Linked DNA regions of Arabidopsis thaliana. The protein of the gene in region 1 interacts with the protein of each later gene in a biochemical or structural test. Each region holds a gene or a part of one and is shown in the gene's direction. Other genes may lie near its edges.

Evidence for each region.
Region 2: the proteins of BZO2H1 (region 1) and BZIP53 form a complex in vitro, tested with the Arabidopsis thaliana proteins (one study listed by BioGRID).

What each region holds. Positions count from the first base shown.
Region 1 is NC_003075.7:1,152,145-1,156,875, forward strand, and holds BZO2H1 (bZIP transcription factor family protein), read left to right. Parts: upstream 1-1,809; 5' UTR 1,810-1,886; coding exon 1,887-2,297; intron 2,298-2,385; coding exon 2,386-2,467; intron 2,468-2,813; coding exon 2,814-3,000; intron 3,001-3,081; coding exon 3,082-3,157; intron 3,158-3,233; coding exon 3,234-3,359; intron 3,360-3,448; coding exon 3,449-3,798; coding exon of another isoform or gene 3,799-3,802; exon of another isoform or gene 3,803-3,919; coding exon 3,920-3,941; 3' UTR 3,942-4,212; downstream 4,213-4,731. Other genes in the region: AT4G02630 (Protein kinase superfamily protein), read left to right, coding at 1-1,017; AT4G02650 (ENTH/ANTH/VHS superfamily protein), read left to right, coding at 4,395-4,731. UniProt on the Arabidopsis thaliana protein: Transcription factor that binds to the C-box-like motif (5'-TGCTGACGTCA-3') and G-box-like motif (5'-CCACGTGGCC-3'), ABRE elements, of gene promoters. Binds to the 5'-ACGT-3' motif of seed storage protein (SSP) encoding gene promoters (e.g.
Region 2 is NC_003074.8:23,090,908-23,094,682, reverse strand, and holds BZIP53 (basic region/leucine zipper motif 53), read left to right. Parts: upstream 1-1,832; 5' UTR 1,833-2,398; coding exon 2,399-2,839; 3' UTR 2,840-3,097; downstream 3,098-3,775. Other genes in the region: AT3G62430 (Protein with RNI-like/FBD-like domain), read left to right, coding at 1-263, 372-512, 601-888; CP12-2 (CP12 domain-containing protein 2), read right to left, coding at 3,282-3,677.

The sequences.
Region 1 (4,731 bases):
CTTGAGGTTTCTACTAATGGATTTGCTGACGAGAATGTGATTGGACAAGGAGGTTATGGGATTGTGTATAGAGGTGTTCTTGAGGATAAATCAATGGTGGCTATAAAGAATCTGCTCAACAACAGAGGACAAGCTGAGAAAGAATTTAAAGTCGAAGTCGAAGCTATTGGACGCGTAAGACACAAGAATCTGGTGAGATTGCTTGGTTATTGCGTTGAAGGAGCTCATAGGATGTTAGTTTACGAGTATGTTGATAATGGGAATTTAGAACAATGGATTCATGGTGGTGGTTTGGGGTTTAAGAGTCCTCTTACTTGGGAGATTAGGATGAACATTGTTCTTGGAACAGCCAAAGGGTTAATGTATTTACACGAAGGTCTTGAGCCTAAAGTTGTTCACCGAGATATTAAATCGAGTAATATCTTGCTTGACAAGCAATGGAACTCGAAAGTTTCTGACTTTGGGTTAGCTAAGCTCTTGGGTTCGGAGATGAGCTATGTGACTACTCGTGTGATGGGTACGTTTGGGTATGTGGCTCCTGAATACGCGAGTACCGGAATGTTGAATGAGAGGAGCGATGTTTATAGCTTCGGTGTTCTTGTTATGGAGATTATTTCAGGGAGAAGTCCTGTGGATTATAGCCGGGCTCCGGGAGAAGTGAATCTTGTGGAATGGTTGAAGAGATTGGTGACGAATCGAGATGCGGAAGGAGTTTTGGATCCGAGGATGGTTGATAAACCGTCGTTAAGGTCATTGAAGCGTACCCTTTTGGTAGCTTTAAGATGTGTTGATCCTAATGCTCAAAAGAGGCCAAAAATGGGTCATATCATTCATATGCTTGAAGCTGAGGACTTGGTCTCTAAAGATGATCGGAGAAACTCTGGAGGAGGAGGAGGAGGAATAGAACAGGGAAGGTCACCGCGGAGGAAGACAAATGTGAATGAATCAGAGGATGAGAGTGGTAATTCTGTTCTGATCAACAATGACCAATTAGCTTTGGAGAATAAGCAGAACTAGTAAAAAAGAAAGAAGCTTTGGCATTATAATTTTGTATTACTATTTTTAGAAGTTTTTTCTTGTGTGTGTATATTTATGTGTGTAGATTCTTAGCCCTTTCACAAAAAAAAAAAAAATGTGTGTAGATTCTTGTAATTTTGCAATAATTAAAACTGGGGATTGCTTGAAAAATATATATATGGTTTGTTTTTTTGTATTCTTTTGGTTCGTTCTCTATTGTAATATAGCCTACATAGTGGTGATTTGTGGTATTGGTGACACTATGTTAAGGTCAAAAAGAAATAGAGAGTAAATTCCATATATATGAAAATTGAAAATGACTGTTTAAATTTACATATGGCGCGAAAAAATGATCTAGTTCGTTAATTATTTTTAGAAGCTTTTTGTGGTAAATTTAGATTTTTAAAAAACTCCATATATTTTTTTTTTATAATTTAGGCTTGTCTATTGTAAATTTGTAATATAGCTTAGTGATTTATTTGTTTAGCTTCTGGTGACATTTTATAAATTTTTAATGACCAGTATAATATAGTATTTTTTTATAAATTAAAATATAATCTAATGTTTTATGTCAACTTCGTTGTTCATTGAATAAATCAAACTTTGAAGAATAATTAAATAACAATGTTTGCAAAAACTGTTACGTTTTTTCATGTAAACATTAGTGGACGTTATACAATAGATATTTAAATTATAAAAACTATTCAAAGAATATTGTAAAGAAATAAAACAGAAATGTGTAAGAAAAAATGTTTATTTTATTGTACGTAATAAAAAAAGAGAATATACTTGTGTGGGTGGACCTAAATGCAAATAGGCAAAGTACCGACAAAAAAAGAAGAATCAGAAAGTGAAAAAGAGAGCGAGCGATGAACAGTATCTTCTCCATTGACGATTTCTCCGATCCTTTCTGGGAAACTCCTCCGATTCCTCTCAATCCCGACTCTTCTAAGCCTGTTACGGCGGATGAAGTTAGCCAGAGTCAACCGGAATGGACTTTCGAGATGTTTCTCGAAGAGATTTCTTCGTCGGCGGTGAGCTCTGAGCCACTTGGTAACAACAACAACGCGATCGTCGGTGTTTCTTCGGCGCAATCTCTTCCTTCTGTTTCCGGACAGAATGATTTCGAGGATGATAGTCGATTTCGTGATCGCGATTCGGGAAATTTGGATTGTGCTGCTCCCATGACGACGAAGACGGTGATTGTTGATTCCGATGATTATCGTCGTGTTCTTAAGAACAAGCTTGAGACTGAGTGCGCTACTGTTGTTTCTCTTCGGGTGTGTTGTTAATCTTCTATTTTTCTTATCTATATGTGTAATTTGTGCGTTTTGATCTAAATCTGAAGCTCTGATGTTCTCTTCTTAGGTTGGGTCTGTGAAGCCTGAAGATTCGACTAGTTCTCCAGAAACTCAACTTCAACCAGTTCAATCCAGTCCTCTTACTCAAGGTAAGAGTCTCTTCTTAGTTTCACCAGGATAGATGAGCGATGATAAACCTGCAGATTCGTTTCTCTGTTCTGTGTTTGTTAATTTAGATGCCTAGGTTAAGGAATTAGAAATAGAAAATGGTACTTTTGTTGGATCAAGCGCCTAGTTTTATCCGTCAAGTTTCAATCTTTTTGTGACTGACTTTCTCATTGAAATTAAACTGCTTTCTGGAAGAACAATAAGCTTGGGATTGAGATGAGTTCTGGTGGTTAGTTCAATATATGGGAAATCATTATTTCAGCGCTCGTCTTTCTCTTTCAGATATCTCTTCTGAGTCTTAGACATAGTAAGTTTTAATCGTGGTAGGTTCTTTGATGACCCCAGGAGAACTTGGTGTTACTTCTTCCTTACCAGCTGAGGTGAAAAAAACTGGTGTATCAATGAAGCAGGTTACTAGTGGATCGTCGAGAGAATATTCTGATGACGAGGACCTTGATGAAGAGAATGAAACCACCGGTTCCTTGAAGCCAGAGGACGTTAAAAAATCTAGAAGGTAATCATTACTTTTTCTCCAATTTCTTGTCGTTTGAAGATTACATTTATAGAGCCTTGTTCTTCCTTTTAATATTTGTAGGATGCTGTCAAATCGTGAGTCAGCTAGGCGATCTAGAAGGAGAAAGCAGGAGCAAACAAGTGACCTCGAAACACAGGTTTTGTGTTGTATCCTCTCAACACCTCATTTTTGTGTTGAAGGATATTAATGAGACCTAATTTGTATTTTGATAGGTTAATGATCTAAAAGGTGAGCATTCATCACTTCTTAAACAACTGAGCAACATGAATCACAAGTATGACGAGGCTGCTGTTGGCAATAGAATACTAAAGGCTGACATTGAGACATTAAGAGCTAAGGTAAGAAGACTTAAGTATTATCCTCCTCTCCTTTTTCTGAACTACCCTTTTTTTGTATACAGTTTTAGTAACTCCCATGTTATGTTAAGGTGAAAATGGCGGAAGAAACCGTGAAGAGAGTAACAGGAATGAATCCGATGCTTCTCGGAAGATCAAGTGGACATAACAACAACAACAGAATGCCAATAACTGGTAACAACAGGATGGATTCTTCTAGCATTATTCCAGCTTATCAACCACACTCAAACCTAAACCATATGTCAAACCAAAACATCGGGATCCCAACCATTCTACCTCCAAGACTCGGAAACAATTTCGCTGCTCCTCCATCCCAAACCAGCTCTCCCTTGCAGAGAATTAGAAATGGGCAAAATCACCATGTTACTCCAAGCGCCAACCCGTATGGCTGGAATACCGAACCTCAGAACGATTCAGCATGGTAAGCTAAAACATGGCTCTTTCTTTTAAGACCATTGAACAATTTAAAACCATTTGAAGTACTATGATCCCTGTTTATACATATCAGATTCCTGTCTCCCCTTTTTTTGCTCATTTTACAGGCCGAAAAAATGCGTGGACTGATCAAACAAGAAGCGGGTTTCGCACTATATTAATGTCTATGCATCTGTAATTTGTAAGTGTTATTAAGTTACGAATCATGAGAAAACATCTTGTGAAAATACAGTCTCATGGCTTATATATATATATAAGCTCTGTCTTATAACATTACAAGATTCTTATTTGAGAATCGTCTTTCTATTTATAGCTAATAACAGAGTGTATATCTGTTTTTATCCAATTTTAAAAAAGATAGCTCACATGGCTTTACTAATTTCCCCTATCATTAAATTCCGACAACCTCGGCGATTTCCATGGTAGATCGATCAAGCATTCACATTTTCTCGTCAGAAAACACAAAAAAAAAAAACAGAGGAGAAAAAGAGACGACGACAAACAAGTGAAAGAAAAAAGTCGTCGTTCTTCCAATTTTTTTCTCCTCTCTCTTCCTCTGTTTAACGGCGTACGTAAGTCAAAATGGGTTCAAGTAAGCTAAAACGTGCCATAGGAGCCGTGAAAGATCAAACAAGCGTAGGATTAGCCAAAGTCGGTGGTCGAAGCAGTTCTTTAACGGAACTCGAAATAGCTGTCGTGAAAGCGACGCGACATGATGACTATCCAGCGGAGGACAAGTACATTAGAGAGATTTTATGCCTAACTTCTTACTCACGCAATTACGTAAGCGCTTGTGTGGCAACTCTCTCGCGACGGCTCAACAAGACCAAGAACTGGTCGGTTGCTCTCAAAACCTTGATTTTGATCCAACGGTTGCTAACAGATGGAGATAGAGCCTACGAGCAAGAGATCTTCTTCG
Region 2 (3,775 bases), on another chromosome or scaffold:
AGCGACTTACTATTCGGCGTAAAGAATGGGTTCATGATGGCTCTAGTTTTGAGCCTATCAGTTTGGATATTCCTAGTCTTGAATACTTTAAATACTTTGATACTCTCCGAGATAGCTATCCAGTTGTTAAGCTCAACTCCCTTGTGGAAGCTAAGCTAGAACTTCCTTCTCTTTATATTGGGGATACCTACAATGTTAGGAATCTGATCAAGGGGTTGAAAAATGTTCAGATTCTGCGCTTAGGAGCTGTTGACACGATGCACGTAAGTGCTCTCCACTGAGATATTAAAATAAAAAATCTTTCTATACATTAGAATGTTTATTGAAGTTATGACTGACTAGTTTTTTTTTTTTTTTCAATTCTGTTCCAGCTGTTTTGGGTCTTCAGGGAAGCAGTCCCAGTGTTTGAGAACCTGTTTCATTTATCAGTTAGTACTCATGACGCTATCTGTTGGGATGATCTGCGTATTCTTCTTGAAAAATCTCCAAATCTAAAGACTCTCACCATTGAGGTGACCAAAAACCCCAAAAGTTCATTGGACAAACAAAAGAATTGAAACTCACAAAATCTTCAATCTCAAAATTCCGGTCTTTTTGCAGGCTTTGCATTATCATGGCTATGGGGATGAAAACTCTGTTTGCGAATGCTTGGATGGGTATTCTTTCCTTTTGTCCTGCCCTATTGAGATCCTAAAGATAACTGAGTTCGGTGGAGAGATTGAAGAAATGGAGCAAGTAGAGTATGTCTTGGAGAATTTGCTGTGTCTGGTGCTGTTGGAAATTCATGTTAAGACAAAGAAGATTGACAGAAAGCTGCAGATCTTGGCGGATCTCCTAATGCTTCCGAGAGCTTCATCCAAATGCAAAGTCCAGGTCAAGTTTGTTTGAACAAACAAGTGTTTGTTGCCTCAACATGAGAACTGTTGGAGAAATGGTGCAAATAAAGCACATGTTAGAGAAATTGCCAAGTCTTGAGCTTTTGGAAGTTCAGCTTAAGCCAATAATAAGAGCTGACACAAAGATTCAGATCATGTTGGATCTCCTAATGCTACCGAGAAATTCATCTAAATGCAAACTTCGTATCAAGCCCTCTTGAACAAAATCTTAACATATCCCATTTATTGACATGAGAGAACTGAGTTTGTTTTTGTATCACACTCTTAAATCTTTGCATAAGCTCAGAATCTAGTTTGTGAAGATTGTGAGAGAAGTAATCTTAAAAAGATCAAACTTTTGTTGACATAAGCTTGGCGTTTTTCTTATCTCTAACTGGATTTTTCGAGTGTGTAAGGGAGAGCTAAGCCCATCAGCTGAATTAAGGCTATTATAAAGCCCACGAGCCAACTTCCCAACTCAGTCTTGTGTTTTGTAATTTAAAATCGTGTCAATAAAATGATGTAATCGTCACGTCATCATTTAAGTTTTAACCAAAGAGAGCCGCATATAAACAACAATCTGGTAGACTTTCGTTATAGTTAATGGTCGTTTTATAATTACGCTTATGAATTGTGTGTTAGACGTTGCTTTCGTGAGGAAATTTTCAAATTCAGAAATATATAATATTCAGTTAATTAACACTTGGCAATAATATTTGATATTTTCTGAGGAGGCATCTTGGTGGAATATTCCATCCGTGAACAGACGGAGAAACTTCCCTCAACAAAACGTGCTTCCCTTATAAAATTCCAGCTGGCGGCGTCACAGCTGGCGTCAGTTTCCCCCAGTTGCGTTTTAAAAAAAAACAAAATAAAAAGATTTATGACCAAAAGTTAATTATCTTCCTTTATTAAAATATTGTAAAAATAAAGAAAAAGGCTTAGGACAGCTCATCACCATCTTCTCCTTTAAAAGGATAAGCTTGGTGTTACTTTATCGCCTTCTTTCGTTTGGCCTTTGATCCTATCATAAGCTTTTTTTCGTTTATCAATCTTCTCGATTCAGCCACAATTCTTGTTTCTCAGATAATTCATCTCCTTTCTTTGATTCGTTTCCTTCTCTTCTGTCACTCAGATCTAGATCTAGATCTAGGTTTTTTTCTTTCTCATCGGAAATTTGGCTTAGAGGCTTGTTTTGATCTAGGGTTTGGTTTTTGGGAATTTTGAAAAAAAAACAAAATTAGGAATGAATCTATGAGCTACTCAATCCTGTTTCGTCGGATTCGAATTCTACACTCTTTCTCCGTCGTTTACCTCTACTACACCTACGTTTTCTCATGAAGTAATCGTTCTCGATCTCAGTTTTCGTTTTTGATCTAACTTATTCTTTGATAGATTTAGAAATCGGGGATTTTCAGATTGTGTTTTTGAGAGGTTTTTATAGGAAAATATCTCTAGAAGAAGAAGAATAATATTATATTGATTTTAATTTTGGTGAGAAGAAGTCAAAAAGTCAACGAGAAATGGGGTCGTTGCAAATGCAAACAAGTCCTGAATCCGATAATGATCCGAGGTACGCCACGGTGACGGATGAGAGGAAGAGGAAGAGAATGATCTCTAACAGAGAATCTGCTCGGAGGTCAAGGATGAGGAAACAGAAGCAACTTGGTGATTTGATCAACGAAGTCACTCTTCTCAAGAATGATAACGCTAAAATCACTGAGCAGGTTGATGAAGCTTCAAAGAAATACATTGAAATGGAGTCTAAGAACAATGTCTTGAGGGCACAGGCTTCGGAGTTGACGGATAGGTTGAGATCATTGAACTCTGTGCTTGAGATGGTTGAAGAAATTAGTGGTCAGGCTTTGGATATTCCTGAGATTCCTGAATCTATGCAGAACCCTTGGCAGATGCCTTGTCCAATGCAACCAATCAGAGCTTCTGCTGATATGTTTGATTGCTGAAGATGGATGATTCATATCTGAAGGATCAAAAATGAAGCATTGAGTTCGAGTCTTTGGTCTGTTTTACTTACTGTCCTTGTTGTAACAATTAGTGTGTCATTGGTGAATTGAGTCTTGTGTTGTCAATGGACAACGCAATCTTTATGCAATTTCAATTTGTTCGTGTCTTTGTATGGTTTTGTAGCCTCAGTCCTCTAGTCTTGTGTCTCATGTAATTGGTGTCTAATGTGTTTCTTATTGAATTCAAGCTTTCTTATTATTCGCTGCGCATTACCTGTTATGAAATTTTGGCTTTTGTATTCGTTTATGGAACTACAAATTACAAATGTTTTTAGAGCTAATTCAGATTCAAAGACATGATTTATATAACCTGACATTACCAAATGGACCGGAACAAAGATTTGTCGTATACGTATGAATCCGGAACAGGATCTTGATCGCTTCAGTTGTCGTAAGTACGGCACTCGTTGGTCTCAGGATTGTCTTTGCAGTATTCCTCCAAAGGGTCCGAACCATCAGCCTTCTTCTTGTCTCTAGCATGGCTAGCTGCTGCGCTAAGTTCTTCAACCTCGTCCCACGCAGCTACACACTCTCCACTCACAGGATCGCCCGCACAAGTCTCCTGAGCTTCCTTAATGCTTTTCTCCACTACGTCCGATATCCCTCCTTCCGGTGCTGCTTTAATCGGCTGAAGTTTCATCATCCGGTTAGTTGTTCTTGACCCAAGATTCCACGAATTGTTCAAATGGACCGGACCGGCGAGACAAACTGGCCGATTCTCGCTGGTGACGAAGACACGCTGGGTTGCAATGTTAAGACCAGTAGCTATAGTTGCCATCTTTGGATGGAGAAGGTACACGGCAGCCTGTGAATATAGTTTTTGATAAAAGAAGATAGTTCAGATAATTGGGAGGGAACAAGATATATGAAGTGTGC